3 linked regions of the Macaca fascicularis genome follow. The protein of the gene in region 1 interacts with the protein of each later gene in a pairwise test. Links are inferred from orthologs where the notes say so. Each region holds a gene or a part of one and is shown in the gene's direction. Other genes may lie near its edges. The genes, in order: LONRF1, ADAMTSL4 and TRIM42.

Region 1 (10,804 bases):
AGAGTCTCTGTCACCCAGGCTGGAGTGTAGTGGCATATTTTTGGCTCACTGCAACCACTGCCTCCCAGGTTCAAGTGATTCTCATGCCTCAGTCTCCAGAGTAGCTAGGACTACAGGAATGTGCCATCACACCCAACTCATTTTTTTGTAGTTTTAGTAGAGACGGGGTTTCACCATGTTGGCCAGGCTGGTCTCCAACTCCTGGCCTCAGGTGATCCACCCGCCTTGGCCTCTTAAAGTGCTGGGATTATAGACATGAGCCATCGCACCCCACCAGGTTTTTATCACTAACAAGAATGAAGAATAGTACATGATATCTTTGTGGGTGGGCTCATTTAACAATGATTTTCTAGTGTCTTCTTGGTGCCTAGGTGCTAGAGACATGTCAGTGAACAAGATGTACAGAAATCCCAAATCTCAGGGAGCTTACATTCTGGAGGGTGGAGACGAGTAATGTGTATGTAATATGCCAGATGATAAGTACTGAAGGCAGGAGCATGGTGCGGGCGGGGGGGGCGGGGGGCATGTATAGGCCTGGAAGGAAGGAGGATGGAAAGTACCAGGGGGATCCATATGTAGTAAATTCTTAGAATTTGTTAAATAATATATGGGGTTTATTCCTATGTCTACTTTTTAAACAGCTCGATATAGGGAAATGTATTTATTCATTTAATCAATTTGACTACCAGCAAAATAGGCCACGGGTCACACACTTAGTATTTCTAGATTCTTCAGAGTATTAGAAATGAAGAATGAAGCATAGCACCCTTTGTAAGGGTAGTGGCCCTTGCGCACTTTGTGTACCCTGTAGGGATAACAAAGAATGCGCAGTAAACGGTACTTGGTTAGATGGTAGTCATTGCAGGCAATTGGCTTTAGACTTACACTTCATATAAGCTGTATTTAACCTACTCGGGTTGTCCTCATTAGGGCTTTTCACTTGGAACGCTATTATAGCAATAATATATTGTATTTTTAGCATCTTATATAAAGTTTCCCACAAATGCCCAAGTTATATAATCAGCTCCCCCTCGGCCCCCCCACCCCCGGCTTTCTTTCAGCTTCCCACAGTTTTACAGTAGGGGCAAGGAGGTGTGAGTGCAATAGGGGATCCCTGTACAGTGACTGCAGGTGTTCAGGTCTCAGAGACTGGTTCCCCCTCTCTAAACAGGGATGGGTACGCACCAACAAAATGTGTTTCTTGATACCCTTCTCTTCTATTCTCAGCCCTCACCTGCTGTTACATTTTCAGCAGGTATCACATTGCTGTGTTCCTCAGTCTGGGAGATGCTCTGTCTCCTCTTATTGTGTTCAAACCAAGCCCTGGGGCTTGGCTCCAGAGGCAGAAGGCACCTTAGGGGTAGTTCCAGTTCCCTCTTTCTACAGATAGCAAATGAGGCCCAGGGAACCCAGGTGACTTCTTCCCTGGCATAGAGGCATAAATACAGTCAGCACCAGGTGTCCAGATTCCCTCGCTGGTATGACTTCTATGAAACTAGCAGCTTCTCAGATCTCAATTTTCTCATATATATATAATGAGAGGTATGACAAGGTGGTCTCTAGAGCCCCCTCCATCTGTGTATTGTGTTGAAAAATGCTATTGGGGACCAGGCATGGTGGTTTATGCCTCTAATCCCAGCACACTGGGAGGTTGAGGCAGGGAAATTGCTTGAGGCCAGGAGTTTGAGACCAGCCTGGCAACATAACGGGGCCCGCTTCTACAACGAGTTTAAAAAAAAAAAAAAAAGCAATTTGCTGGACAGAGAGGCATGCGTCTATAGTCCCAGCTTCTCGGAGAGGCTGAGGTGGGAGATCACTTGAGCCAGGAGGTCAAGGCTGCAGTGAGCTATATACTCACTATGCACTGTAGCCTGGGTGACAAAGCTAGATTGTGTCAAAAAGAAAAAGCTATTGGGTAGGTACTGTTTATATGAAATGTTATAGTTTACTCTCTTTGAATAGAACATTATCAACTGAAATGAATCAGGAATGGGACGTATTTTGCTTGGACTGACAAATTCAGTTTCTTTTTTAATAAGAATGTAAAGAAACAAATGGTAAATTCACCCACAGCAAAAAAGAAAAAAAAAGAAAAAAAAAGAGGTTCAAATACACATCTTCAGCTGAGTTGTATACAAGAAAAGTGCTGTGTTATGTTACTCTTAAATAGGAGTTTACCAAACTATATCAGGAAAAGTCTTATGGTGTGGCAGTAGGAGGCAGGGATAAGCAGGCAATGATGGTGATAAGCATTTTCCAAATTAGGAAACAGATACGCTTTTCTTCTTACTCTCTTACATAACTGATCTATTTTAGAAGACAACACTCAAAAACCGAAACAGAATACAAATCTCATGATTTTACTACTTTGTTAGCAAAGAATGACACAAGCAAGTAATGCGAAGGAAAAGGAGAGCTCTTCACTCCATTGTACTTCTCCCAGCCAGGGGCAGTTTAGCAGGATTCCCTCTTCTCCATCACAGCCTGCTGGGTGACTCAGAGACCTGTCTAAATTTTAGGAAATGAAAGTAGAAGGACACTAATTTTTCTCACTTTTGAATTTAAACAAGCAGTCACATTATCGTGCAACTTTGGGTGGCAGAGAATGATGGAAGGGTGACCTGTGACAGTGCCAGTGACTGCTTTGCCTAGACTTCCTGATTCAGAGGGAAGTTATGCAGCACACAAAGGCCACAGCGGCAGTACAGCCTCTTACATAAATAAGTTACATAAATGAGAACAAGTTATGTAAATGTATAAACCAGCAAACATGAATTATAACCATTCACAAATGCCAAGGAGAACACGGTAAGATTCCTCCTACGGTCCCATTTTTTTCTCCTGCACATTATCATAATTGTGCCATTTTATTTCACATCAGAATCAGATGTGGTTATCTGTCATATTTATTAGGGAAAGGAACGCCAAAGGACAAATAATACTTCACATTACTTTTCTGAACCACATATTGTACTTTTGGCAGAAATCCCGTAATAGAACCCGACTTTATATTTGAAAAGAAGTTTATGAGTGTTTATTAATTTATTATGCTCCTTGTAATAAACATGAACACATTATTTACTATTGTATATTTTGCAAGTTGCCATTAAGAACAAGAATGCATTACAAAAAATGAATGTGCGTGTACACATGGATATTTGTTATATTATTTGTGATTTCAAGTCTCAAGGGAGTATGTGGACATCAGATGAAAGTCACTGTTCTGCTTGTTGAGGGAAGGTAGTAATTTCGGGGGTTAGGATTGGATTTAAGGTTATCTCATGACTTAATCCCAGTGCTTCCCACGCCAAATGCTGAGGAGGTGCTCCTTGGATCTAGCTGCAATTTGCTTCAGGTGCAATGTGAATGATAAATGAACTTGTTTCTGTCTGCATCCTGTTGGAACAGGAGGCTTGGCTTTTTCTCAAGCACCTCTTTTTTATTCATTCCCTTTAGGGTAATATATCTCTATCTTTTCTGACGTTACACGACTTGCTCATTGTGTAGTGAAAACACATTAACTCAAAACATTTTTTAGCCTTAATTGCCGTTCCTTATAAAGAGAAATATTAAACGTATACCATTTTCAGACATACTATGCTCACGTGAACTTTCCAATTAGCAACTTCCTTTGACAATCTATTTCTATGAAATATTACTATTATTTTATTAAATATTATATACGATCAGTCTAACGTAGTAACATAATAGTGGAATAGACGTGATCTTAAAATCTATATTAGCTGTGTGATTTTTGACAAATAACTTTCCCTCTGTTTCCCATCATTTGAAAAAGGACTAAAAGTTCTAAGTGACTCCTAACATTAACAATCTAATACCCTATAATCAAATCTATAAATATTTTCAGCGGAGAGCTTTAAACTTGCCGCTGTGAAGTTTAAGGGAAATAGCACCTATTATATATCAACCCCATCATTTTCTTCTGTTGGCAAAACTGCAGACCCTGCTTGGGTTGTAGTAATACGGTGACCGCCACGTGAAAAACATTTTTCTCGGTGTTTTCTTTTAAATATGCCAACTATAGACTTTAACCAGCTGTAAGGCAGTGCCTGAGGTGTGGAGACACCTGAGGAACTGTGTGGGCTTTCTCCCTCGAGGTGGGCCTACGATGAGTTTTAAGCAAAGGGCAGCAGTCACCTGGCACCAGGAAAAACTCCTTGCCCTCTGGAGGGAGTCGCCCCAGGAACGTGGGTTTTGTGTTCCTGTTTAAAGTTGAGTCCTCTAGAACCGAAGAGTCCCAGACATCTGCCGAAGGTGCCCTCCCAGGCCCCCTGCTTGGGAGCGCCCACCTGGAACCTGGGCATAGAGGAATGAAAATGCAGACCCGCACAAGCGTGAGGACACGCCGGGAGACCCCCGCCCGCCAGGAGTTGGGGCAGGTCCGGCTTGGGCGGGGGCGTCGGGGGAGGGGTGGTGACCCTGAGTCCCGCGCGGCAAGGGCGCGGGCCACCGCAGGTGGGGGCGTCGGCGAGCAGGCAAGCGGGGACGGAGACTCTGGGCTCCATCGGGCTTTGTTCCGTCACGAGCCGAGCCCTCCTTTCCGGAGAAGCCAATTAGATCTCCGACGGAGGAATCATCCGACCTGCGCCCCCGCCGGGAGGGGGCTCGGGAGGGGCGGGGCCCAGCGCTTGGCTCCTCGCGAGCGCGGCCGCGGGCTGCGTGGGGGAGTCCCGGCGCCGTCGCCGAGCCCGGCCCCGCCCTCGCCAGGCCCCGCCCTCGGGGCTTCCCGGGCGCGCGCCGCCCCGCCGTGTCCGCGCGCCACGCCCCCCTGCTCGCGGGCCGCGTGCGGAGCCGCGCGCCCGGGAGGCTCCCGGACCGTGGCGGCGGGCGGCGGCAGCGCAGCCCTCCGCGGGCCATGTCCTCTCCGGCGGTGGCGAGGAGTTCCCCGGGAGGGAGTCGGGAGATGGCCCCGGCGCCGCAGGGCCGAGGCCGGTTCTGGGAAGTGGGCGGCGGCAGCGGCCTTCGGCTGGAGCGCGCGGCCGCGGAGTCGGAGCGCTGGGAACTGCTGCTCCGCCGCGGGGAGCTGCTGGCGCTGGGCGGCCACCTGAAGGGCGCGCTGGAGGCGTTCGCGGCGGCGCTGCGCCGCGGGGCCCCGGCCAGGCCCGAGTGCCTGGGCGCCCTGGTGGACTGCCTGGTGTTCAACTACCGGCTCCGCCACGGGCTGAGCTGGAGCGCGGCCCCGGCTGCGGGCGCGGACGGCGGCGCCTGCGGGCTCCTCAGATGCCTGGGCTGCCGGGGCTTCCTGAGCGAGCCGGTGACCGTGCCCTGTGGCCACAGCTACTGCCGCCGCTGCCTGCGGAGGGAACTCCGCGCCCGCTGCCGCCTCTGCCGGGACCGGCTGCCGCCCGCCACCGCCAGTGCCACTGATGCTGAAGGGACCGCCCCGCGGCCGCCGCCTCTGGCAGCCGCCATCGCCGCCTCAGACTTCAGAACCAGCGTCGTCCTCAACCACCTGGCCGAGAAGTGGTTCCCGGGCCAGCGCGAGCGGGCCCGGGCGGCTGGCAGACTCGGGGAGCTGCTACACCAGGGGCGCTACCGGGAGGCCCTGGCCGCCGCCTGCGAGGCGCTGCGAGCAGGTGACCGCGCGGGGATGCGGCGGGGCCGGGCCGACCGCACCCTCCTGGCCCCGAGGGCCGGGGACCCGGAGCTTGTCTGCGTCCCGGGAGTCTCCTCTGCTTCCCCGGGGCCGCTGGGCCACTGGCGTGTTGGGTCTCGGGGTGCTGGGGGGTGTGGGAGGGGGCGGCGCCCCGGGGTGCTTCGGTCACAATGGGGATCGCCCTGGGAGCCGACTGTGACGCAGCGCGGGGAGGGGCGCTCGGCGCGGGGTTCCCTCGGCCGCGGCCTGGCCGTCGGGCGCGCGCTCCGGGCGCGGAGTGGGTGACCGGAGCCGTGGGTGCCCCGGCGCGGGATGGGTGGGAGCTGGGCTATCCCGAGCGGCCGCTCGCTTCCTGCCGCGCGCTTTCCGGGAATTGACTCTCTCGCGCCAGGCCCGCCGCGGGGAAACGACTGCCGGGGTGGGGAGAGAATCCCCCACGAGGACAACTAGGCCGGGAAGGCGGCGTCTCCCTTCCTCACCCACAAAAGTCACCGGGACAATTGGGAGCCGCGGGAGGGCAGAATTGCATAAGCTGGGGGCGGGGGTCGTTGTGTAACGGGTGACGTCCGGTGGGCGTGGCGGGAGCTCCGGGCGGGCACCCGGCCCCGGGAGGCCCCGCAGGCCGCCGGGCTTGGGGCGCGGGGCGGAGCTGCCCCGGGTGGTCCCTTGCTACCTGGAAATGCCTGAACTGGTTTCTCTCGAAAGTTTCAGCCGGCCTGTTTCAGATCATGCTTATTTCCTATGTACTTTGCAGTGCACCTAGCTTATGGTAAAGATGAGAGGGGCTTCCTGATCCAGAGTTCTTTGCCACGCTTCTCTTGGCCGTTCCACTTAGGATCAAGCTGTGGGGAAAGGCCTTGTAGGTCTTGAGTGCATTTCTTAGTCTCCAGGAAGCAGCCTCGGCCTCCTAACCTAGGTTAGCTAGCACTTTCTTCTTAAGGTGGTTTTAGGCGCTGAAAGGGGGCAGTGTCAAGCTTCTCTTATGTAAAAGGAAGAGTTGTTCTTTAAATCAGTAGTTCTTTACCAGCCGGATTTACCTCCCCTCTCTCAGGGGACATTATCTAGAGCAATATCTGGAGACATTTTTGGTTGCCACCTCTTGTGGGGGTGGTGCTGGTACCGACATCTAGTGGGAGAGGCCCGGGGTGCTGCTCAGACATCCTATGAGGCACAGCAGGATTCCCACAACAAAGAATTATCAGGCCCCAAGTGCCACTGTTGATAAACCTTGTGTTACGCGTATTTCAAGATTTTAGTGTCTATCCATTGGCATGATAGCTGGGGGAATGGCATGATAGTTGGGGGATAGTTGGGGGAATAATCCCCAAGAAAATAGACATCTAGAATAGCAGCTGACTTTAGGTATTACAGGTAAATTTATAGACTGTGTAACTGAAAGGATCATCTTTCGGGTCATCTTTTGTCCCAAGTGCTTAGTCATATTGAACTTACGTCAAGATCTTGCATTGTTTAATATCTTCAGAGTTCGAAGCACAAACACCGGAGATTTTTGTATTCTTTCAGTGCCTTTATGAGGAGTAGGCAGTTATAAAATAGAAAGATAGGCTCAGAACAAAAGAAAAGTGTTTGGAATACAGAATTCTGATACGGATGACTCTGTCCCTCTGGGTGAATAAAGAGAAGAGAAACTGGACTCCGCTGTACAGACCATCTAGTAACTGACCATGGTATGATTTTTAAAGCAAAGAAGCAGATGCCAGGCAGTGAAGACTTGCGCACAGTCACAGTGTTAACTGGTTGAGAGGCAGCGCTGTATCTTCCACTTCTCCTAAACGTTGGTCTAGGGTTCATCCTGCCTTATAGCTTATCTGATGAAAATGTTTATTATACATATCCAAAGAAGTTTTTTTGGTCACTGAGGCTGAAACTTATGGACAGTACTACTGATACAGTGATTCGACCTTAAATTAGGTGTTTCACAAGAATCCAGGTCCTGGGCCATGGAAGAACAGTGAACACATTTGCTAATTGAGGTCTAGCTTAACATTTTGTGACCAATAATAATTAACAGAGATTTTGGTTCTTGTATCGAGGATGTTATGTTTAACAGGAAAAGGCTCTGAAAGATGTAATCTCTGCTTTTTACAAGCTGCATAGATTGCACGTGGGGATTTTGTGCACTTAGCAACTTAATTCTACTCTTGCAGCAATAGAACCCACGTCTTCTGACTTTCACTTCATTAGCTAATTTTTTCCTCATTTTTAGTTCTTTCAAGAATCATTAATTCCATACTTGAAAATGTCCGAATGGCACGAATGAGGATAAGTTTTTTTAATCTTTTGAATTATTAATGTGAAGTAAAATGGGAAAAAAATCTCAGAGCTATTAGAGTTGGTAAAGGGCCGATTTATAAGTGTTTCACAATTTATGGGTGTAAATCAAAATGTTAACGAGTGCAGTCATAATCCATTTGTATGATCGTTAGGCTTTAACTTCTTTGGAATTGGCAAGTTAGGCATTTGACATGTATTTATATAACTGTACAGTTGTAGTTATTAATGACCCTGTCATTATTGATAATGAAAAAAAGATCTTCACTATAATTTTTTTCATGTAATTCTTATAATGAAACAAATAAATACTATTAACTAGAAAAAATCTAGTCTGCAGTTAGCCCACACACATCCAAACTTATCTCTGCCAGCAGCAAAAGAAAGCTTGAAAACCTTTGCCAAAATCAGAAGTTTCCCATTTAGATTACATAAGTTTCTGTTGAATTGAAATATATTTAGATAACATTTAAACCATTGATCTTTTGGTATTAACTCTCAGATGTTTCATAACTTTCTGTCTTTTTAGTATTCAAGGATATTATGTAAAGTTTTTCCTGCACTGAATCTCTGTACTTGAGCCTATTGAAATGATCCCACTAAGCCATGCTGTCTGCCTTTTGTGTTTAACGTTTTTTTACACTGACTTGTCTCCTTCGTGTGTTCACCTCTCCCCTAAAAGAAGACAACAGAACAGTATAATTTACAATTTGTACAGGTTAAAAGAAAAATAAAGGTTATAAGGGGGAGAACATTTTGTTTTAAAACATTTGGGTAAGGAAAATTTTGTCTTTAATATTAATTCTGTAATCCTTGACCAGGCATGGTGGCTCACACCTGTAATCCCAGCACTTTGGGAGACCGAGGTGGACGCATCAGTTGAGGCCAGGAGTTCGAGACTAGCCTGGCCAACATGGTGAAACCCTGTATCTACCAAAAATAGAAAAAATTAGCCAGGCGTGGTGGTGCGTGCCTGTAGTTCCAGCTACCGCAGAGGCTGGGGCAGGAGAATTGCTTGAACCCTGGAGGTGGAGCTTGCAGTGAGCAGAGACCACACCACTGCACACCAGCCTGGGCAACAGAGCAAGACTCAGTCTCAAAAAATAAAAATAAAAATAAAAATATGATCCTTGACTGTTACCCAGTACTTTTACATTATTCATATTAATATCATTTGATCTTCACAGAGAATTCTATGGAGTACCATAATATTATCCTCAGAGGGAAACTGAGGCACCTATGGATAGACATGCAATGTGGCTTAGTGATTAAAGCTCTGCATGCTGGAAGCTGACACCTGGCTTCCATTCCCAACACAGCCCTCGGCTCTCTCCGACCTTGTGCATGTTGCCTAACCTCTCTGTGTTTTGGTTTCCTTATCTGAAAAATGAGAATAGTCTCTACCTCATAGGGTGTTGTGAGAATCAAATGAGTAAAAACATGCTAAGTGCTTTAAATAGTGCCTGACACAGAGTAATGCCCAGTAAATATTGATTAAATATTTTTAAAATGTAGAAGTGTGTTTTGGCCAGAAGGTGATTTTGCTGAAACTGGAATCTAAACCTTGAGATTTTACGTCCTGTTCTGTTCTGTCACTTGGTAGAGAGTAAAGATTACATCCCGATTTTAGTTTACACATGTTAACTAGCAGTTTAGCATTCATCAATAAACTATAGATACTGAAAAGCTTTAGCTATCAGAAGATCAGTCAAATTATAGGTAAATACTGAATACATTTAAAGAAAATGTGGAGGGTTTTTATTTCATAACTAGGTTAAAATGAAGAAATTTGAATTTAAACAATACAGTAGTTTCCCTTTATTTGTGGTTTCAGTTACCCACATAGTACAGTATGATAAAATATTTTGAGAGACCACATTCATGTACCGTTTATCACAGCATATTATTATTGTTCTATTTTATCATCAGTTATTGTTACTAACTTCTTACTATACCTAATTTATAAATTAAAGTTTATCATAGGCATCATAGTATATATAGGGCTTGGTACTATCTGAAGTTTCAGGTATCCGTGGGGGTCTTGGAACGTATCCCCCCCGGATAAAGGGAGGCTCCTGTAACTTATTTATGTCCTTCCTTATTGTGCAGAGGACTTGAAACAGTAAACATTGATGTCTGTATGGTGATTATAGTTCACAAGTATTTTCATTTCTGTTATTGTAATTGATCCATACACAAACTCATGTGAGATAGGAGGGCAAGTATTAGTACACCTAATTCACAGATTTAAGAAAAGTCCCAAGAATTTTAGGTGACTTTCTTAAGGCAAGTAAGTGACCAAGTTAAAACTGAAAGCAGAACCCAAATATGTGCATATTGATTCTAAACGCAAAGTTTATTTTAAAATTAGCATGTAAAACATAAACCTATTCTTACCATCCAACAGTTTTTTATTGAGTAGCTACTATATACCAGGCATAGTTTTAGGTGCTAGAAATATAAAAAGGAGTAAAATAAAGTCCCTGTCCTTGTAGAGTTTGTATTTTTTGTTTCTTTTATAATTGTAGCAAATTGAAAATCCCTAGAAAATGGGGTTTACTGCCTAATTGACTTCTTCTTAACCAAGACTGTATCTCTAATTATTTTCTTTGATTCATAATATACTTTAAGGATTTTTTTTTTTTTTTTAGTGCTTCAGGGTTACTAAAAACATCAACTATAATGGCTATTGATATAAATGATAAAAAAACTGATTGAAGTGTCCCATTTCAAATGAATAATTTGTTTTTTAATCTGTTTCTCATTCATCAAATGCAGAATTTACCAAAACTGAATTATCTTAGATTTTGAGTTATTTATATATTAACTTTTTGTTTATTCAGAATCATTTGTGTATTTGTTGGAATATTTCTAAGAGGCTTGGAAAATCTCAAG
Region 2 (10,717 bases), on another chromosome or scaffold:
GGCTTAAGCAATCCACCCACCTCAGCCTCCCAAAGTGCTGGGATTAGAGGCGTGAGACACCCCACCCAGCCTAAAAACTTTTTATCCTGGAGACAGTGTCCACAAACTTAATCTGATATTTCACAAGTTGCTGAGGCATAGGAAACTCTTTTCTTTATACAATATTTTCAGACCACCAAGCCATGAGAGGTGACAGCAATAGGAAATCTCATGAGCTATTTGGTCAGCAGCCATTTCTTAGTGGAAAGAACTATTTCTGACCTTCAATTCTCAGCAGTTACAAATGTCAAAGGCAGAACTTTCCTCTCCTCCCACACTCCTGTGCTGCAGCTTCCCTCCCTGTAGATAAGTGAATGCCGATGGGGTGTGACTGGGCCAGGACTGAAGGGTCCCTGGCCTAAAATATCTTACTCTGCCTGGAAGGCTGGGCTTCACATAATCTGTATCATACTCTGAGGTCTGGGCAAAGGGGCTTCCCCTTCAAAGCTAGCACTATAAATATGCCTCGAGGTTGTCACCAGGAGTCCCTAGATAAACCAGCCCTCTGGGAGGGGCATTAAGCTTTTATCTTCTTAACCCATGTAGGAACTCAGGACCTGGATGGAGGATGAGGAGAGGCACCTCCTGGAGGCACAGGACGATCCGACCTGCGCCATGTTTCGTGGTGTACTTCGTGTTTTCAAGTTGTTGTTTTCAGTGACTTATCAAAAAAACAAAACTCTAATATAAAATAGGAAAAAGTATAGATGATATAAAGTAGCACAAATAATCCTTTATCCTGGAAGAACTTAGGGATTTACCAAGAAAAAATATGCATGTTAAATTTCAAATAATGATACAATTCTTTTTCTCCTTCCTTTCTTTTTTCTTCTTTTTTTTTTAGAGATGGGGTCTTGCTATGTTGCCCAGGCTGGATTTGAACTCTTGGCTTCAAGTGATCCTCCCACTTCAGCCTCCCGAATCACTGGGACTACAGGTGCCTGCAATTGTACCCAGCTCGGGACACCATTCTTACATTTTATTTACTTTATTTTATTTTATTTTATTTTTTTGAATCAGAGTCTCACTCTGTCACCTAAGCCGGAGTGCAGTGGCATCATCTCAGCTCAATGCAAACTCCACCTGCTGGGTTCAAGCAATTCTCCCTTTCTCAGCCTCCCCAGTAGCTGGGATTACAGGCGCCCACCACCACACCCAGCTAATTTTTGTATTTTTAGTAGAGATGGGGTTTCACCATGTTGGCCAGATTGGTCTTGAACTCTGACCTCAGGTGATCTGCCCACCTTGGCCTCCCAAAATGCTGGGATTGCAGGCATGAGCCACCGCACTCGGCCCAATTCTTACATTTTGAAAGCATTTTATGTTTTCATATCCATCATCTTCTTAGAGATAACATCTCCTTCAGCTGAGCCCAGTATTAACCTTCCCATGACCCCATTACCTGCAGTGTCTGTGCCTGATCAGACCAACTCCTTGAGGCTAGAGACTGTCCTCTTGCTGCTTCCTCAACATAAAGTGCAAAAGGTGCCCAAGAAATGACAGGTAGGGGAACCAAAGACCTCCGATATTTTGTGAGGATGCACGACAATGTTGTTAGAGCTTCTATTTTTGTGTTTTAGTTTTTCAAGGGAAATTTTAAAATATCCAGGTTTTAAAATAGGTATTGACAAGTTATTAAAAAAAAAAAATACACCTTTAGGTTGGGCCCAGTGGCTCATGCGTGTAATCCTGGCACTTTAGGAGCCCAAGGAAGGAGGATTTCTTGAGCCCAGGAGTTTGAAACTAGCCTGTCTTAAAAACAAAAAACAAACAAACAAAAACCTTTAAAACACTGAGTAGACCCAACAAAACACAACGCGTCAGTAAATAGAAAGTAAAAATATAGGCCGGGCGCAGTGGCTCACATATGTAATCCCAGCACTTTGGGAGACTGAGGCGGGAGGATCATGAGGTCAGGAGTTCAAGACCGGCCTGGCCAACACGGTAAAACCCCATCTCTACTAAAGATACAAAAAATTAGCCAGGTGTGGTGGCTCGCGCCTGTGATCCCAGCTAGGCAGGAGGCTGAGGCAGGAGAATCGCTTGAACCCAGGAGGCAGAGGTTGCAGTGAGCAGAGATGGCACCACTGCACTCCAGCCTGGGTGACAGGACAAGACTCCATCTCAAAAAAAAAAAAAAACAGTAAAAATATAAAAATAGCAGTGACCATTTATTGTCTACTCTATGCCAGTCATTTTACGTATTTTATTTATGTATTTATTTTTTGAGAAAGGTCTCTCTCTGTCGCAGGGGCTGGAGTGCAGTGGCACAGTCATAGTTCATAGTTCACTGCAGCCTCAAACTCCTGGGCTCAAGCGATCCTCCCCCATCAGTCTCCTGAGTAGCTAGGACTATAGGTTTTCACCACCACGCCCAGCTGACATACATTATTTATTTTTAAGAAATAATAGCTGGGCGTGGTGGCTCACGCTTGTAATCCCAGCACTTTGGGAGGCCAAGGCGGGAGGATCACTTGAGGTTGGGAGTTTGACACTAGCCTGACCAACATGGAGAAACCCCGTCTCTACTAAAAAATATAAAATATATAAAATGAGCCAGGCGTGGTGGTGCACACCTCTAATACCAGCTACTCGGGAGGCCGAGGCAGGAGAATCACTTGAACCTGGGAGGGAGAGGTTGCAGTGAGCCGAGATCATGCCATTGCACTCCAGCCTGGGCAACAAGTGTGAAATTCCGTCTCAAAAAAAAAAAGATAAAACTAATAGATGGATTACTCTTGTGGTTAAAAAATTCACAAAAATAACATAACACGGCTAGGCGCGGTGGCTCACGCCTGTAATCCCAGCACTTGGATCACCTGAGGTCAGGAGTTCAAGGTCAGCCTGGCCAAGATGGTGAAACCCTGTTTCTACTAAAAATACAAAAAAAAAAAAAAAAGGCCGGGCGCGGTGGCTCAAGCCTGTAATCCCAGCACTTTGGGAGGCCGAGACGGGCGGATCACGAGGTCAGCAGATCGAGACCATCCTGGCTAACACGGTGAAAACCCGTCTCTACTAAAAAATACAAAAAACTAGCCGGGCGCGGTGGCGGGCGCCTGTAGTCCCAACTACTCGGGAGGCTGAGGCAGGAGAATGGCGTGAACCCGGGAGGCGGAGCTTGCAGTGAGCTGAGATCCGGCCACTGCACTCCAGCCTGGGCGGCAGAGCGAGACTCCGTCTCAAAAAAAAAAAAAAAAAAAATTCGCCGGGCGTCTGTAATCCCAGCTACTCAGGAGGCTGAGGCAGGAGAATCGCTTGAACCCGGGAGGTGGAGGTTGCAGTGAGCCGAGATCGTGCCATTGCCCTCCAGCCTGGGCGACAAGAATGAGACTCCGTCTCAATAATAATAATATTAATAACAAGAGGCCGGGCACGGTGGCTCACGCCTGTAATCCCAACACTTTGGGAGGCTGAGACGGGCGGATCACGAGGTCAGGAGATCGAGACCATCCTGGCTAACACGGTGAAACGTCTCTACTAAAAATACAAAATACTATAAATATATTTTGTATATAAAATTTGTATAAAATTTTTGTAAAAATATTTGTATAAAAAATAGTATAAATATATACTATAAATATATTTTATAAAAATATAAAAATACAAAAATACAAAATACTAAAAATACAAAAAATTAGCCGGGCGTGGTGGTGGGCGCCTGTAGACCCGGCTACGGGGGAGGCTGGGGCAGGAGAATGGCGTGAACCCGGGAGGCGGAGCTTGCAGTGAGTCAAGATCGTGCCACTGCACTCCAGCCTGGGCGAAAGAGAGAGACTCCGTCTCGAATAATAATAATAAACATAACACAGAGTAAAAAGCAAAAGCCTTTTTCAGTTCTCCTCCAACCCTGAACCCCTCCCCAGATGTCACCAATACTACTGAGTTTGGGGTGCATTCTTCCATATATAAATAAAGAGACATATCCAAGTCCATCCCATATATTAGATTAGTCCCATTTTGCAGATGAGCAAACTGCACCACACAGAGGTGGAAGTATTTGTGGAAGACCACACAGCCGGCAAGTGCTGGAGCTGAGATTCAAAACCAGGTCACTCTGACTCAGAAGTCAGCACGTTGTCCTTCCGCTGAGTCCCGAGTGTAAAACCTTACTGAGGGAAAAACCGAAGCTCATAGAAGTCCCAGCAATCAGAACCACAGGGTTCACTGCCCAACACGGGAGAGCTAGGAGTGACTGAGCTTGCAGGTGAGGCTGCGTGGAGGAGAGAGCCTGGACCCACGCGGATCCGGGGCCGCGGGCACCTCCGTCCAGGGCGCCGCCCTCCCGGACCAGCGGCTCTCCCAGGCCGCCTAGCTCCAGGCGCCCCTGGAGGCCGCCCGCGCCGCGCCGCTCTCGCACCGCTCACCCGAGCCACTCGGAGGCCCGGGCTGCTTAAGTCCCTAATCCCAGCCGGACACGAGGACAGCGCCCGGGAGCGACCGCAGCCTCCGACCCCGGCTGGGCCCGCCCGGGCTTCTGCTCACGCAGCCGACCGGGGGCGCCCGGCGCGCAGCCCGGGGTGGGTGGTCCTGGCGAGCGGGACTGCGAGGCCGACCGTCCCCACCCCGGGACCGCCAAGGGGCGCGGGCTGGGGCGCGTGGCGGGCGGGGCGGGGGCGGGCGCGAGGGCGGAGTCGCGGCCGAGGCGGCGGTGTCCGGAGAGCGGCTCAGGGGCCGCAGTGGCCGCCGCGGAGCGAGGCTGCCTGTAGAGAGCGTCCGGGTGCAGAAGGGTTAACGGGCCACCGGGGCGCGCAGAGCAGGTAGAGACCTCCCCGAGACCCCGGCCCCGGCCGCCCCTCTCCCGGGTCCCGTTAGACCACCAGCCCCGCGCGCCCGCGTCGTCCCCTCTCCCTGCGCTGTGCGGTCGGTCGCGCCCCCGCCACGACCCCGGCCCCAGCTCCGGTGGCCTCGGACGATCTTCCAGCCCCTGGGGTCGAATTCCTGGGGAGGGGGTCTGATCCCGTGGAACTCTGGCCCCATCACCCGGGCGAGGAGTGAGCCAAAATTCCTCCTAAGTCACACAGCGAAGTTGGAAAACAGACCCACGACCTCCCCGCGCGGGCAGCGCCTCCTGCCCTCTCCCTAGGAGGGTGCTCTCGGACGGTGTGCCTCCCGCCCCCCTACTGCAACTCCTGGAGTTGGAGGACAGGGTCGCCGCGAGGGACGCAGGTGGGTGCCCTTGATCCAGTTCAGTCCGATGACAGAAGAGGTTGACAAAAAAGAAAGACACCTGTTGGGGTGGCCTGCCAGACCCAGGAGTGGAGGGCTCCATGAGGGCCAGGGAATTCGGACTCAGGACAGGGATTCTCTGTGGCTATTCCAGAAACATAGGGTCGAGCCACACTCTCCAGCAGGGAGACCTGGGGGTGAAGGGGTGAGCCCTGCTCAGGTCTCTGTTCCTTGGTTTTCACTGGGCAGTGTGGAGAGGTGTGGTCCGGAGGAGCCCACATTTGTCCAGACCAGGGTCTATTCTGGCACCAACCTCTGACCTCTCCTTTCCCCGTCCTGGGCCGTGAACGACACCAAATGAGGCACATGGAAAGGGGTGAGAAGCACAAATGTGCGTGTGTTTCTGCAGAGGAGGGGGCATGGGCCCCTGCCGGGCTGCGCAGGGGAGGGTGGGGTGGGACTTTTCCAGAGAGGGAGCCAGGCCTGGCCCGGGCCCCAGGAGCTCACGTCACCCCCACCCCTCACTTCTCCAGGGAACTGCCAAGGCCAAACCCAGCTCGGGACGGGATTATGTGTACTGGGTAGACCCGTGGAGAGGGGCGGTGAGATCTGGGTGGCAGAGAGAAACAGAGGCAGAGAGGGCATGGAGAGGGGTCGGCATCAGAGAAGGGGCCGGCAGTGACCATCACCCCCTTTCTTCTTCCCTCAGCTAGAGTAACAGAGTCAGGCAGAGCCTGAACACTTGGGTGGAACATGGGCCCTTCTCTGGAGACCCTGGCCTCCCCCGTTCAGTCAGGGCGGAGTTGCTGACCTCAGTGGCCGGCCCAGCCAGGGGAAGGAGTGGCCATCGGCAACCCCCTCCCCAACCCTAAACCGTGAGGCACGCCCGCTCTGGCTCAGCCACTCTGACCCCTCCCTCAAATTATGAGCCCTAGGTCTCAGGGAGGGCAGTGGGGCGCAGTGTCTGCCCCCAGGCACATTCCTTCCCTTCTCTTGGTCATTTTCTGCCCCAGAGCTGGCCCACCTCAGCAATTTGAGGGCTCCCTGGATTCCTTTCCCGGGTGCCTTTCAGATCCAACAGAAACATTTTTTTTTTTCCTGGAAAGCAGACCCAAGAGTGGGATGAGGAGCAGGGGTGGGAAGGCCTCTAAGTGAGAAGGGGGCAAGGAGAGTCAGGCTTTGTGGCTCGGGAGGGTTCCAAGCCTCACTTCTCCAGTGTTCAAAGCTGAACTTCAGATGGACTTCCTGCCTCTTGAGAATGAGAGGCCTGTGGCTGGGGCAAGAGGCAGCCCTGGCTGCACCTCTCCTTCCCGCTTCCCCAGCTGGTAGAGCCGCACAGGAAACAAGCCCTCACTGAACCAGTGCTGGATGCTGGCACCCAGAGTGGGTGTTACATTGCGGGCTTCTTCTCTAGAGATTAAACCGTCAACCCATTTAGCTTATCCCTTGGCCAAAAGTGTCTGAGATGTGCCTGGATGTTCCCGCACATCTCTTCCACAGAAGGGAAGAGAAAGCCAGGAGGCAAGTAGGACAGAGAGATGTCTGGGGAAGGTCTCGTTTCTGGAAGACCCGAGGAAGGGGCTTCTGGTGGATCCTCAGAGAGAGTGTCTGGCACATCCTCAGTGGAGCCTTCCTCCTCTACTTTCTAGGCACCTCTGGGAGGGCAGGAGTGGGAGCAGATGACAACCATTTTAGAAGGAGCCCTCTGGCTGGGTGCGGTGGCTCACACTTGTCATCCCAGCACTTTGGGAGGCCAAGGCAGGAGAAGCGCTTGAGGCCAGGAGTTTGAGACCAGCCTGTGCAATTTAGCTGGATCCCGTCTCTACCAAAAAATACAAAAATTAGCTGGGTGTGGTGGTGCACGCATGTAGTCCCACCTACTCAGGAGGCTGAGGAGGAAGGAGAGCCTGTGAGTTTGAGGCTACAATGAGCTTTGGTGGCACCATTGCACTCCAGCCTGGATGACAGAGTGAGATCTCCATCTCAAAAAAAAAAAAAAAAAAAAAAGCCGTTTGTGTGTGCCTGAGCCGGCCTAGAAACAGTCTCTAGGTAGGATTTGGGGAGGAGCTAAGAAGCCCCTACAGGGCCCAGGGGTGGGGACTGAGCCTTAGTTGGAAGGCTGAGGTCAGCCCCCGACCATGTAGCCTCTACAGATGGACAAGGCAGTGATCCTCCCTGCTCCCACCCTGAGGATCCTAAAGGGGTGGGCCAGTCTCACCACCTCCTCCACTCTGATCTGTCCTCCCAGCCCCAAGCTCTCTGGACACTGGAGAGGTAACCACCAGGCTTCTGTCCCTGCAGAGAGCACCCTCCACACCCAGATGCCTACCCAGATGCCTGCCCAGATGGCTGTGTAGTTTTTGTGACCAGTCCGCTCCTCCCTTGCCCTGGGGCAGTAGAGGGGGGAGTGATGGAGAACTGGGCAGGCAGGTGAGAGAAGGGGCCATGGTGGGGAGGGAAGGGGGGGTTGCTGGGACGGCTGCATGTCTGGAAGTGAGGGAAAGAGGACCACTGGGAGGGGCAGGGGAAGTGATGAGTAACTTCTGCTTTCTGAGAAGTTGGTAGTCAGGATATGGGGAGCCGGCTGGGGGCGGAGGGTGGTGTTGCAACACCCCCTCTGGCTCCAGTCTGACGTCCCTCCCATGGCCTTTGGTTTGCAGGCCCTGGCTGTATCTGCTGCTGCTGCTGCTTCTGTCCCTCCCTCAGCTCTGCCTGGATCAGGAGGTGAGCTTTGGACAAGTGAGCAGCTGCAGCCTGCCTGCCACCCTTTCATCTCCCCCTGGGCTCCCACCCCATCTCTCCAGGCCACGCCTCCTTTCCCCACAGCCCATCCACCTCCCCTGCCAACTCCACAGTTACTTGCCTCACAACACCAAGAGGCCGAGGTGTAGTTCTCCCTCTGCTGCTGAATGTGACCCTGGACTGGCAGCGACTCTGTGAGCCCCAGCGGTGGTCTAGATGGACGCTCTGGACAGTTCCCTCTAATCCTTCCAATTCTGTCTGACCTTTTTCTCTATATAGGTGTTGTCCGGACACTCTCTTCAGACACCTACAGAGGAGGGCCAGGGCCTCGAAGGTGTCTGGGGACCTTGGGTCCAGTGGGCCTCTTGCTCCCAGCCCTGCGGGGTGGGGGTGCAGCGCAGGAGCCGGACATGTCAGCTCCCTACAGTGCAGCTCCGCCCGAGTCTGCCCCTCCCTCCCCGGCCCCCAAGACATCCAGAAGCCCTCCTCCCCCGGGGCCAGGGTCCCAGACCCCAGACTTCTCCAGAAACCCTCCCCTTGTACAGGACACAGTCTCGGGGAAGGGGTGGCCCACTTCGAGGTCCTGCTTCCCACCTAGGGAGAGAGGAGACCCAGGAGATTCAAGCGGCCAGGAGGTGAGAGGCCTGGGTGGAAGAGGTGGGCCTTGGGCAAGGTGGGGGCTTAGCAAGAAGGAAAGGGGAGCACGGGTGACTTCAGAGGGCTTGTCTTTGGTGCCAGGAAGTAAACTGGGGAAACAGGGTCAGAGGTGGTCAGAGCTGTGCCCCCACATCTGAAACACCTTCTCAGGTCCCGGCTTCGAGACCCCATCAAGCCAGGAATGTTCGGTTATGGGAGAGTGCCCTTTGCATTGCCACTGCACCGGAACCGCAGGCACCCTCGGAGGCCACCCAGATCTGAGCTGTCCCTGATTTCTTCTAGAGGGGAAGAGCCCATTCCATCCCCTACTCCAAGAGCAGAGCCATTCTCCACAAACGGCAGCCCCAAGACTGAGCTCCCTCCCACAGAACTGTCTGTCCACACCCCATCCCCCCAAGCAGAACCTCTAAGCCCTGAAACTGCTCAGACAGAGGTGGCTCCCAGAACCAGGCCTGCCCCTCCACAGCACCACCCCAGAGCCCAGGCCGCTGACACAGAGGCCCCCTCACCCACGCGCTCCTTAGGAGAAGGTGGCTTCTTCCGTGCATCCCCTCAGCCACGAAGGCCAAGTTCCCAGGGTTGGGCCAGTCCCCAGGTAGCAGGGAGACGCCCTGATCCTTTCCCTTCAGTCCCTCGGGGCCGAGGCCAGCAGGGCCAGGGGCCCTGGGGAATGGGGGGGACTCCTCACGGGCACCGCCTGGAGCCTGACCCTCAGCACCCGGACGGCTGGCTGCCCCTGCTGAGCAACGGCCCCCATGCCAGCTCCCTCTGGAGCCTCTTTGCTCCCAGTAGCCCTATTCCAAGATGTTCTGGGGAGAGTGAGCAGCTAAGAGCCTGCAGCCAAGCGGTGAGTCTCCTCGGGTCTCCCCTCCCAACCCCAACCTCCAGTGTGGCCTCCCCGCCCTGAAGCTGGGCCCTCAGCTTCTTCTCGGCCCCTGAGGGAGAAGGGCCTTGGCATCTGACCACCTCAGGGCAGGGGTCTTGGAGCTCTTCCGCTGACCTGATCCTCCCGCCTGCTCCCCAGGTTCAGCCCTGACCTTACCCTCATTTTGCTCCCCAGCTCTGACTCCTTTGTACCCCTCACCGCAGCCCTGCCCCCCCGAGCAGCCAGACCCCCGGGCCCTGCAGTGCGCGGCCTTTAACTCCCAGGAATTCATGGGCCAGCTGTACCAGTGGGAGCCCTTCACCGAAGGTGAGGTTTCTTGCCCACCCCTGGGCAGTGATGACTTGGAATTGGGGATGAAGGGGAGAGGAGACACCTGCTTACTCCCAGCCCTGAATGACTTCCAGCCCCTCTGCTTCCCCTGCGCCGTGCCTTCTTTCTTCTCCCTGGGGCTGGGTCAGGAGACAGCACAGGTGGCGGCGAGTGGTCTGCAGAGGGGTCGGGGTGGGAGGAGGAGGTGCGGGAGACACGCTTTGTCCGGACTCCTCTGGGAAGGCCATCACTGGGGGTCGGGTGGCTGTGACACAAGAGGGCCACAGTGGGAGAGATCCTGTCCAGCCGTGACAGCTGGGTGGGGGTGTGCCACGTATCCTGGGCACTACCGTATCGGTTGCTCCCAAGTTACCATCCGCTTCATTTTAGGCCTGTGTTGACACCAAGACAAGCACTCAAGAGCTCTGAACACACAGAATCATGGGCGTCAGGGATTGCTCCTCTCTCGGTTCAGAGTCCCCTTGATGGTCTCAGTGACCTCGACTGACCTGACCACCTTCCTTTTTTTTTTTTTTTTTCTGAGACAGAGTCTCGCTCTGTCACCCAGGCTGGAGTGCAGATCTCGGCTCACTGCAACCTCTGCCTCCTGGGTTCAAGCAATTCTCCTGCCTCAGCCTCCCAAGTAGCTGGGACTACAGGCATGTGCCACCACGCCCGGTTAATTTTTGTATTTGTAGTAGAGATGGGGTTTCACCATATTGGCCAGGCTGGTCTTGAACTCCTGACCTAATGATCTACCGGCCTCGGCCTCCTAAAGTGCTGGGATTATAGGCATGAGCCACTGTGCCGGCCCTGACCACCTTCTCAGCTTGTGCTGTTGTCACATTTCCTTCATCCACAGTGACCTGGGCAACCTCAAGGTGCCCCCCCGGGGCCTCTCTCAGCTAACCTCCCACC
Region 3 (10,156 bases), on another chromosome or scaffold:
TAACAGCCAACTTCTTGCAACTCTCAAGCTGACGGCCTTACGCAGGGGAGGAAGGACTCCTCCACTGGAGAACTGATAGCAGTATTCTGGTAGAGGAGGCATCAAGAGCCCTAGGAGGCCAGCGGTAATCATGTAGGCGCCATGGAAACTGCTATGTGCGTTTGCTGTCCATGTTGTACATGGCAGAGATGCTGTCCTCAGTTATGCTCCTGTCTGTGCTGCAAGTTCATCTTCACCTCAGAGCGGAACTGCACCTGCTTCCCCTGCCCTTACAAAGATGAGCGGAACTGCCAGTTCTGCCACTGCACCTGTTCTGAGAGCCCCAACTGCCATTGGTGTTGCTGCTCTTGGGCCAATGATCCCAACTGTAAGTGCTGCTGCACAGCCAGCAGCAATGTTAGGTGCTACTACTATGAGAGTCGCTGCTGCCGCAATACCATCGTCACTTTCCACAAGGGCCGCCTCAGGAGCGTCCATATCTCGTAAGTGTCAGACACTGGATGTGGGGCCACATTGGCTCATGAAAACTAGGGACCACTTGCCAGCTGTGAAGTCCACAGGGCAGGCCAGTGCGCCTCTGAGTTCATTTCTTTATCTAAGAAGGAGCTAAGAATTTTGTAGCAATTAACTGTATCCTAAATGGTCACTATGTATGTAGACCATGAGTTCCAAATCTAAGCACCATTAACTATGAAAATGAGCACTTCACTCCTCTGAACCCCAACTCTCTCATCTGTACAAAATAGTAATAGCTAATAGTTAGTGCTTAAGCAACTTGCCAGGAACTTCATGCATGACCCCAGCTAACCCCTCACCCTAAGTCCACTGTTTCCATGAGGAAACTGAGCCTTTGAGAAGTAAAGTTGTCCCAGGATCACACAGCTGGAAAGATGCAGTCAGGATTGGAACCTAAAATTTGGGATCTTAACTTTAAAATGCTATATTGCAAAATGGAGACAATACCCCCTTCCCATGATATTATAGATATAAGGATTAATGTACATGCTTTGTAATCTGTATGTGATATAAAAATATAAACTGCTCTTTCTCTTCCTATGAACTCTTAATACCTGCAACATTTAATGGAAAAGTAAGAATTTCTACAGGGCACTTTTGACCCTGAGGATCATATAAATACCCCATACATCCATGAACTCCTACTACCTTGTTTTTCCCATCCAGAAGTCATAGTACTCAGGGTCTCAATTACGCATTTGGAGTACTAACCCTCCATATTAGGTCCTACATTATCCTCACCTGCTCTACCAAACCAGTCTTTTTACGTCACAGATGAGGGGAGTCTGAAGTAGTAAGAGCACACTTCTTAGAAGGGGAAAGATGACATCACCATAAGATGACAGGATTAGAAGAGGCAGAAAAATAGAAGGCAGTTAGAAGGCTTTCAAGCCTGGAAAAGCAATTCTGTAAGCAAAGGTTTGGTGAATTCAGGGGAAAGATATTATCCATCTTGCAATTAAACATTAAGTAGATGCTTAACAAACATAACTCTCCACCCATGACCCTCTCATAGTGTTTGCATAAATAGGAAATCCAGGGATTCTCGATGCAAGTCTAGAAATCCTAAAGCATGGAAAATAGTGTCCACACTCCTCTCTTAACTACCTCATTTTCTGTGCAGCAGCAGCTGAACCTCTGAGCCCATTTCAACAGGAAAGGGATAAAATTGGTGCTTTAGGAAAATGCCTTAGGCTCAGTAGCTCCCCAACGTTATTGTGCATTGAAGTCACCTGGGGATCTTTTAAAATTACTGATGCCTGATCCCCACCCCCAAAACATTGATTTTATTGGTCTGGGGTACCACCTGAGCATCTGAATTAATTAGACTCAACCCCCGCCTTCAGGTGATTCTAATGTGTAGAACGGCCTGCAGGGGGCTAGGAGGGAAGCCAGGAGATTTGACAGGTGATCCAGCAAGAATCCAGGTGCAAGAACAGGCCTGATTTTGGGAGAGAGGGGGCTGTGCAGAGGAGCAGAGACAGGATATCTCAGCAAGAAGATAAAAGCGCTGGGCTTGATGACTGTTTTGAAATGGAACCATGGCCACTGAATGCCCCATCCGAGCCTAAGGCTTTTGGAGGATGGGCAGGGATGCTACCACAAGTGTTAGGAGGTCAGCTGTGGGTGCTTTTCTTCAATCTAGCCTCTCTCCTGGCTTCTGACCCTCTGCCTCCCCTGTTTCTCATCACCACTTTCTGTTCAGCACCTTGCTTGTCCTGCCTCACTCTGGTCTCATGCATCCCTCTCCATCTTAGTCTTTTTCCCACTTCCTTTTTCACCTCTAACACAGCTACCTAGGCCATTAATACCTGTCTGTTAGCCCTGAGACCTCTTTCTCGTCCTCCAACACCTCCCTCCCCCATTCTTCTTTCTTTTTTGTGAAAATGCTAGCTCATGAGCTTCCTAGTAGAGATACCTGCTGTGAAGGCCTCATAACAGTCTCTCTTTATATTATACCTCCAGTCCTTACTTTTTTAGCAAACTAAAGTCCATCTGGGCACTACATGGACAATTGACCTGTACCTCCAGGTGATCCCTTAAGGACCCATGCAGGAATCTGGGAAAGCAGAGAGGAAACAGAGCTGAGAACATCGAGGCCAGCATGCCTGGAGTTCCCAGATCCCTAAGGCACAAATTTTCCAGGTGCCTTAATCCACACAGGAAGCATTCTCTGTCACCACAGGGCCACTCCATTCCAATATACTTGGGAAGCACCTGTGACTATCTGGACTCAGACATAGGGAGTGGGGAAGACAGGGACACATAAGGAATGCAAGAAGACAAAAGTAGAAAGAAACACAGCCACAATGTCAAGATTAGTATCCAAATACTATTATGCAAACAGAGGAGAGAGCAATAGCGGCAAATTGTGTGCCTATTTACACCTCCATTCCCACAGCTAATTCATTTATTTTTATACACTGCATTTGCTGATTGTAAGTTCTTAGAACAGGCACTTGAATTTTACAAGTATGCTTTTACTCCATAGTTCTTACGATTAAATGTATGAAATCAGCCTCAGGCATTAGACAAATGGAGAGCTTTAACACACACAAATGAAACAGTAGAAGCACATACTTTTCACAGACTTGGCCACTATTTTCCTTTACTGTGATTTCTCTCTACTGCAGACATTAGCTGGCTAGTAGCAAAGGGATGTAATTACAGTGGCCACATTTACTGAATGCTTACTATGTACCAGCAGTTAAGCACTTACATGGATTATCTCATTTAGACTTTATAAAAACCTCACAAAGCAAGTAGTATGGTGAGGTTTGATTTATAGTTAAGAAAACTGAACATGAGAGAGGTTTAAAAAAACATCTCAGAAGGTACAACTGTAAAGTGGTGCATTTTTATCACACACGCTCTGCCTCTAAAGCCCAGATCCATTACCATTACCTATTGGTCTGGTTGGCAGACCACACAGGTTCTAGGCTTGGCTCAGGTACAGACTTGCTCTGTGTTCCATCTATGTACAATAAATAATGTCAATGTCCTCCAGGGGAAAAAAAAAAGCCCTAAGAACACACCTGTAGTTGGACAAGATTGTATTTATTGACTCATTGCAACAAGTGAGAATATAAAGCATGGGAAAGTGTAAAGTACCTTGAAAAGTTATTACAGGATTTGAGCTCATGTTAGGTGAGGACACGGGAGTAAATCTATTGAATATTTTAATAAATCTTATCTAGAAGGTGGGAAGAACAGAGTGACCCAAAAGCTGCTGGAAAAAAAAGAAAAAAGAAAAAAAAAAAAAAAAAACAGTTTTTTGGTTTAAAAAAATCAACCAGGATAGGGGGATGTTGGGTCATTTTCGTGATTTAGACAACGTTCGTGTCTGAGTCCAAACATTATAAAGTGGCCTTGTTTCTGCTTTGATCCAAAGTCACAGAGTAGCCTTGTCTGATACTGTGTTCTTTGATATTACCGATGTCCAACGGAACACCAAGGCCTAGCTGACGCCTGACCAGTCTCTGCGGCTTTTCCCTTGCTTAATAACAGCAAGCAGTTGCAGCACACTGACTGTGTACCATGGACTGCTCTTAGTCCGTACAAGCATTAAACTCAATTTTAATCTTCTCAAGAAACTCTGACATGGGTACTAATTTTATAACAAGGAAATAGGCCGAGAGGTTAACTGGCTTACCTGAGGTCACCCCGCTGAAAAATGGTGGAGACAGGTTGAGAACGCAGGCACCTTGGCACTCAGCTGAGGCTCCTCACCACCACCCTAGACTGCCCCTCAGAAACCAAGAGTTCTTTCAGAGGTAGAGAGGCAGAGCAAGCTCTTGAGCCTGCCTCCTGAAACCCTGCCTTTGCTTCTCCTTTCAGCTCCAAGACTGCCCTGCGCATTGGGAGCAGCGATACCCAGCTGGATGAAGTGAAATCAGTACCAGCCAAAAGCCACCTGGTGAACCACCTCAATTGCCCCATGTGCAGCCGGCTGCGCCTGCACTCATTCATGCTGCCCTGCAACCACAGCCTGTGTGAGAAGTGCCTGCGGCAGCTGCAGAAGCACGCCGAGGTCACCGAGAATTTCTTCATCCTCATCTGCCCAGTGTGCGACCGCTCGCACTGCATGCCCTACAGCCACAAGATGCAGCTGCCGGAGAACTACCTGCGCGGGCGCCTCACCAAGCGCTACATGCAGCAGCACGGCTACCTCAAGTGGCGCTTTGACCGTTCCTCCGGGCCCATCCTCTGCCAGGTCTGCCGCAATAGGCGCATAGCGTACAAGCGCTGCATCACCTGCCGCCTCAACCTGTGCAACGACTGCCTCAAGGCCTTCCACTCGGATGTGGCCATGCAAGACCACGTCTTTGTGGACACCAGCGCCGAGGAACAGGACGAGAAGATCTGCATCCACCATCCATCCAGCCGCATCATCGAGTACTGCCGCAATGACAACGAATTGCTCTGCACCTTCTGCAAGTTCTCTTTCCACAATGGCCACGACACCATCAGCCTCATCGACGCCTGCTCCGAGAGGGCCGCCTCACTCTTCAGCGCCATCGCCAAGTTCAAAGCAGGTCCTCCCCTTCTCCACTCCTTCAGCCTAACTTCTAGTTCAGGAACACATGGGGAAGATGGCGTGGGGCAATGTGCTAAGTGAGTGCCTTAACAGATTCCACCTAGTGGAGCAATCAAGGCACCAGGAAACACTGTGCTATCCTGCAAGTCACTATCCTGGTGTCCGCTCCTGGTAACCACTACCAGTCACTTAACTTCTCCGTGCCTTGCTTTTCTCACCTATGAAATAGGGGAATAGTAGTGACCCCCTCACTGGATTGCCATGAGGATTAAGTGAGTTACTCTATGTAAAGAATGCAAAAAGTCATATGACAAGTGCATAAAGATTCTATAATCTTGATTATAATCTGCATGTCCTCAGGTCTCATTTTCTCTTTTGGAAAATGAAGACTTTGATCCTATAGTATACTGACGTTCTGTGACGTTCTAAGGTGTTCTGTCACTGTTGGATCGCTTTGGTTTTCCTAAATGTGCAGGGGGAAAGAATTAAGTCAGTGCTGAGAATTATCTCAATGTTAAATTTCCCTCCATGAATTTTTTCCAAAACTTGCAGATGCCAAAGTAAATAAACGGGCAGCAAACATATAACAACAGGGACAATTCATAACTAGCCAATGGTATTCTAGTCAACAGCTTGTTTTTCCTCTGCATTCTTGTTCGTGGTGATTTGGTTGTTTTATATTGTTACATATAATATTGCTTTAAGTGAAATAATATTTCAGTGATGGTTTCAGTGATGGAACCAAGCATAATAATATTTCACAGGATTCAGCAAAGAGCCCATAATTTCTTGTTTCAGTGACAAAACCAAGTATAATCATATTTCACAGGATTCAACAAAGAGCCGCATAATTTCTGGGTATGTCTCTACCTGGTCAGACATTAGAATCCAAAAGATTCCTTTAGTGCCCTTTACCCTCAGGAATAGTTCCTTGTATAAAGGCCAACTTTACTCAGGCCTGTGGAGCACATTTTGTCTAATCTCAATAGTGCTACAGTACAGGCATTAAAATGTCCTCCATGGATAAGCCAACTGTGGTTCAAAAAAATAATTAGGACAGGCAGCTAATAAGTGGCAGATGCAGTCTATTTGACTCCAGTGTCCACCATTAATTCCACAACATTTATTTGACAATCTACTCTGTGCTAAGCAGCGACCAGAATCTGAAGATGAAGAGATTGAAGGGGAGGAAGGGGGAACCACCACCACCATCCATGGTCTGTTTCATTAAGGAGTGGCCTGCAGTCAGTTACCAAAGTGCACCAGATCAACCCAGGCCTTTCCCATTGTCAGATCTGTTAGTCTCCAACATTCAGATAGGCCTATACATTGGGAGGGAGGCAGCTTTTCCTTGAGCTGCACAGAAAGGTCCCACTGGATATAAAGGTGGGTCCAAAACAGGCTTTGCTAATGACCACATCACCCCTGACTTCTCAGCAGCTTCAGGAATACCTCGAGTTTTCTCAATTGCCACATACCTGGAAACATTGCTTGTCAATTGACATTTATTTAATTCTGGAACCACCACCAGGGAATACTTCATATTAAAGGAACCCTGCAGGAGCCACATATTATCAAGAAAATGGTAGAACTGTTGGTTCCAAAAGGGTTTTCTGAAGGTGGGACTCACTGCTTCCCTAGGCCAGGGCTTGTCTGAATTCTTTGGCCAAGCATGGCAAGGGTGCTGCTCTCTACAGCCTACTGTGCCTTCCATCCCTCTGTAGGGAACCTTGTCCTTAATACATGTGAAACTTACGATAGTTTTCTGAGTCCAGGGCACCTAAAAGTCAGACAACAAAGCTCAATTCTAGGTGGGGGGAAAATGCCTGTCCAAATTCCAAGGAACCCAGCAGTTGGAAAGGGAAAAAGGGATAATAGGTAAATTAGATATTAGCTATAAGTAAATAATTTAACCTTTCATCCTTGACGAAGAAAGAAACAGACACACAACATTTTTTTAACCAGGGTTCAAACTTGTTCGTGAGCACTTGATTCACTTTTCTGGGAGGTACCATAAATTGGCATTCTAAACAGATCTCCGTGTTATTCAAAAGCAAGTGATCTGGGAATACACATTGAGAAACTTGGGGACCTAGAGAGAAGATCCATTTTAGAAGCTTTACTAAAAACTGATGCCCCTGTCCCATCCACACAGAGGTGCAGGCTCAGCAAGACGGACTTTTAAAAAACTCCTCATGTGATTCTATGGTGCAGGCAAGGTTGAGAACCACTGGAATAAAGGGAGCTCAAAAGTTTAGGTCCCTGCCACTCAAAGTGTGGTTCGAGGACCAGTAGCATCGGCATCACCTGAGAGCTTGTTAGCAATGCAGAATCTCAGGACCCACCCCAGGCCTAGTGCACCAGAATCTGCATCTTTAACATGATCCCAGGAGATTCCCTGGGTTAGATTCTACACCTCACTGCACACTGCCTTGCCTGGCTTCCTGAGCCCCAATACAGGCCCATTGATTCAGAATCTTAGTAGATGAGTCCAAGGGAAGAGGTTTTTTTTAACACTCTTTCAGGTTAATCTGGTGCTCACAGAGGGCTGAGAGCCACAGCTGAAGCGATTAAGAACCTAGTTTGGAGCTAGACAAATAGAATTAGGGACAGAGCCTAGTTTCTCCCATTTACCTGATGTGTAACACTGTGTAGTCACTTCACTTCCCTGGGCCTCAAGCTTTTTCATCTGTAAGTGGAAACAATATCTTCCTTATAAGAAGATATATGTGATATATAATAACATATGGATCTGGTCCATAAAAAGTGTTTAATAAATAGCAACTAATTTTAAGTGTATTACCTAAAAAGAGAGCTTGATTTGACTTCGTTTAAAATCAGCTCTTGCAGAGCTTTCATATTTGTAGAAGTTTGGGATGGGACATTTCTGGCTTCCTCTGTCTTTTTTCTCCTCCTGGAGATGCCTTTTTCCCCTCATCTAAGAAATTTTTATCCTGCTTCTCAGGACTTTGCCCTACATAAGCCTAATTAATCCCTCATACAGGAAGAAATTTCCTATCCAAGTATCTTTAACAGTAGGTAACTATTGAATAGTCAAAGAAAATAATGCACAAAGTAGAATTCTGGCTGCCATAGTCACAGTGCATTGGGGAGGGCAAGAAGCACTTCTCAGCACTGAAATCGCACACTAGTAGTTTCCCTTTCAGTCTCACCTGCATCACCTCATCTTTTCTGAGCCACTGTGAGAAAGGAGATGGCAAGAAAACAGTGGGGCTTCAGGGAGTTAGCCAGAGAGTGACACTGCTGGCATTCACCAATGAGATGTTAGAAGACAGGAAAGAATGGCTTTTACTCAACAAATACATTTGCTCACCTCTACACACCATAGTCATAGTGGTAATGTGGTCCCTGTTCGCATGATCTGACAGAACTCTAGGGTTTCCCATACTCAAGTGCACACCCTTGTTATAATGACCACCACTCACAGAAGTCCAGCTTCCTATGAACCAGGATAGTGTTATGAACCAAGTCCAAAAATAGCTAGTCATCCCTACTTCTGAGTAAAATTTGGTGAGGATTATTGCCCATCAATTCACTGAAGAGTTTACCTTCATGAGAAGAATCTTATCTGTAGAAGATTGACATTCTTCTAACGGCCACAGAAGGTTGATACTCTTCAAATTGCTCCTTAATGCCTCAAATCCTCTAAAGCTAACAAAGGTATTCATTTCACCTTTCACATAAAGCCCATTTCACAGATAGAGATGTGCCACATGCTCACCCTGCTATAGCATCCTTCAATTATAGTATCTTTGGATTTATTCATAACTTGAGCACAGATGCCCTCTCATAATCACATCCATATCCTTAGTGCCTAAAAGATACATGGCATGTAACAGGACTCCAGTAAATGTTTGTTGAATGACTGAGTGAACTTAAAATCCAAATGCCATATGAGGGGCACAAGATAAACTGGTTTTCCTTGAAGTGTGACAGCAGACTCTTTTTTGAAAGCAGTGGGGGAAAGGCAAAGAGAAGTGACATAGCTGAACCACAAGACAAACAAAGGGGGGAAAGGGCATGTAAGAGAGCCACCTCAATGAAGGGAAGCTTTGCTAATTTCCCACTGTTGTATAGGGCTGGAGGCTTAGCGAATGATGCAAGACAACCTTTAGAAGTAGTCAGCAGAAACTTAGTTCTTCCTCTCACCATTGCAAAAGCTTAGGTTTCCGACAGGGAAAAGCAGGCACCAGTCACTTTGTGACTTCACCTCTTCTCAAGTCCAACTTGCAGACAATTGAAATCTGGTAAAAACCAATATCAAGGGTGGGCTTGAACTTCCAGTCTCAGACCCAAGGCCATAGGGATTACTGTTACAAGATAGAAATATCCCAGGGAAGGATCAGAGGGAGAAGAAGGGGAAGGTGTACTAAGGAGGCCAAATTCATTTCATAAACCTATTCTAGCCTGTTTCAGCCCAACTACAAGTGCCTTCCCTCCCTCTTCATTCACCTCCTTGGAGCCTAGGGTAATTTGTTCTAGCTTGCTACTGGCTTTGACACCTGGGGAGATGAAAATTTTAAAAGTAACTAACTTGGCATTTTTGCAGTCCGATATGAAATTGATAATGACCTAATGGAATTCAACATCTTAAAAAACAGCTTTAAAGCTGACAAGGAGGCAAAGCGAAAAGAGATCAGAAATGGCTTTCTCAAGTTGCGCAGCATTCTTCAGGAGAAAGAGAAGATCATCATGGAGCAGATAGAGAATCTAGAAGTGTCCAGGCAGAAGGAAATTGAAAAATATGTGTATGTTACAACCATGAAAGTGAACGAGATGGATGGTCTGATCGCCTACTCCAAGGAAGCCCTGAAGGAGACTGGCCAGGTGGCATTCCTGCAGTCGGCCAAGATCCTGGTGGACCAGATTGAGGATGGCATCCAGACCACCTACAGGCCTGACCCACAGCTCCGGCTACACTCAATAAACTGCATGCCCTTGGACTTTGTTGAGCTTTCCAGTGCCATCCATGAGCTCTTCCCCACAGGGCCCAAGAAGGTATGCTCCTCAGGGGACTCACTGCCCTCCCCCTACCCTGTGCACTCAGAAACAATGATTGCCAGGAAGGTCACTTTCAGCACC

Evidence for each region.
Region 2: the proteins of LONRF1 (region 1) and ADAMTSL4 interact in binary tests that used the Homo sapiens proteins (3 or more experiments, as listed by UniProt). The two-hybrid records come from large-scale screens. The link is inferred for Macaca fascicularis from reciprocal best matches to the Homo sapiens genes LONRF1 and ADAMTSL4.
Region 3: the proteins of LONRF1 (region 1) and TRIM42 interact in binary tests that used the Homo sapiens proteins (3 or more experiments, as listed by UniProt). The two-hybrid records come from large-scale screens. The link is inferred for Macaca fascicularis from reciprocal best matches to the Homo sapiens genes LONRF1 and TRIM42.

What each region holds. Positions count from the first base shown.
Region 1 is NC_088382.1:12,682,774-12,693,577, reverse strand, and holds the start of LONRF1 (LON peptidase N-terminal domain and RING finger protein 1), read left to right. Parts: upstream 1-4,833; 5' UTR 4,834-4,876; coding exon 4,877-5,597; intron 5,598-10,804.
Region 2 is NC_088375.1:110,698,256-110,708,972, reverse strand, and holds the start of ADAMTSL4 (ADAMTS-like protein 4), read left to right. Parts: upstream 1-4,705; 5' UTR 4,706-4,796; intron 4,797-5,052; exon of another isoform or gene 5,053-5,205; intron 5,206-5,454; exon of another isoform or gene 5,455-5,594; coding exon of another isoform or gene 5,595-5,809; intron 5,810-5,810; coding exon of another isoform or gene 5,811-5,920; intron 5,921-5,922; coding exon of another isoform or gene 5,923-6,086; intron 6,087-6,088; coding exon of another isoform or gene 6,089-6,287; intron 6,288-6,289; coding exon of another isoform or gene 6,290-6,360; exon of another isoform or gene 6,361-6,495; intron 6,496-7,453; exon of another isoform or gene 7,454-7,506; 5' UTR 7,507-7,615; coding exon 7,616-7,635; intron 7,636-7,865; coding exon 7,866-7,929; intron 7,930-8,226; coding exon 8,227-8,582; intron 8,583-8,754; coding exon 8,755-9,451; intron 9,452-9,664; exon of another isoform or gene 9,665-9,693; coding exon 9,694-9,796; intron 9,797-10,717. UniProt on the Homo sapiens protein: Positive regulation of apoptosis. May facilitate FBN1 microfibril biogenesis.
Region 3 is NC_088376.1:43,534,856-43,545,011, forward strand, and holds part of TRIM42 (tripartite motif-containing protein 42), read left to right. Parts: 5' UTR 1-141; coding exon 142-482; intron 483-4,353; coding exon 4,354-5,051; intron 5,052-9,623; coding exon 9,624-10,156.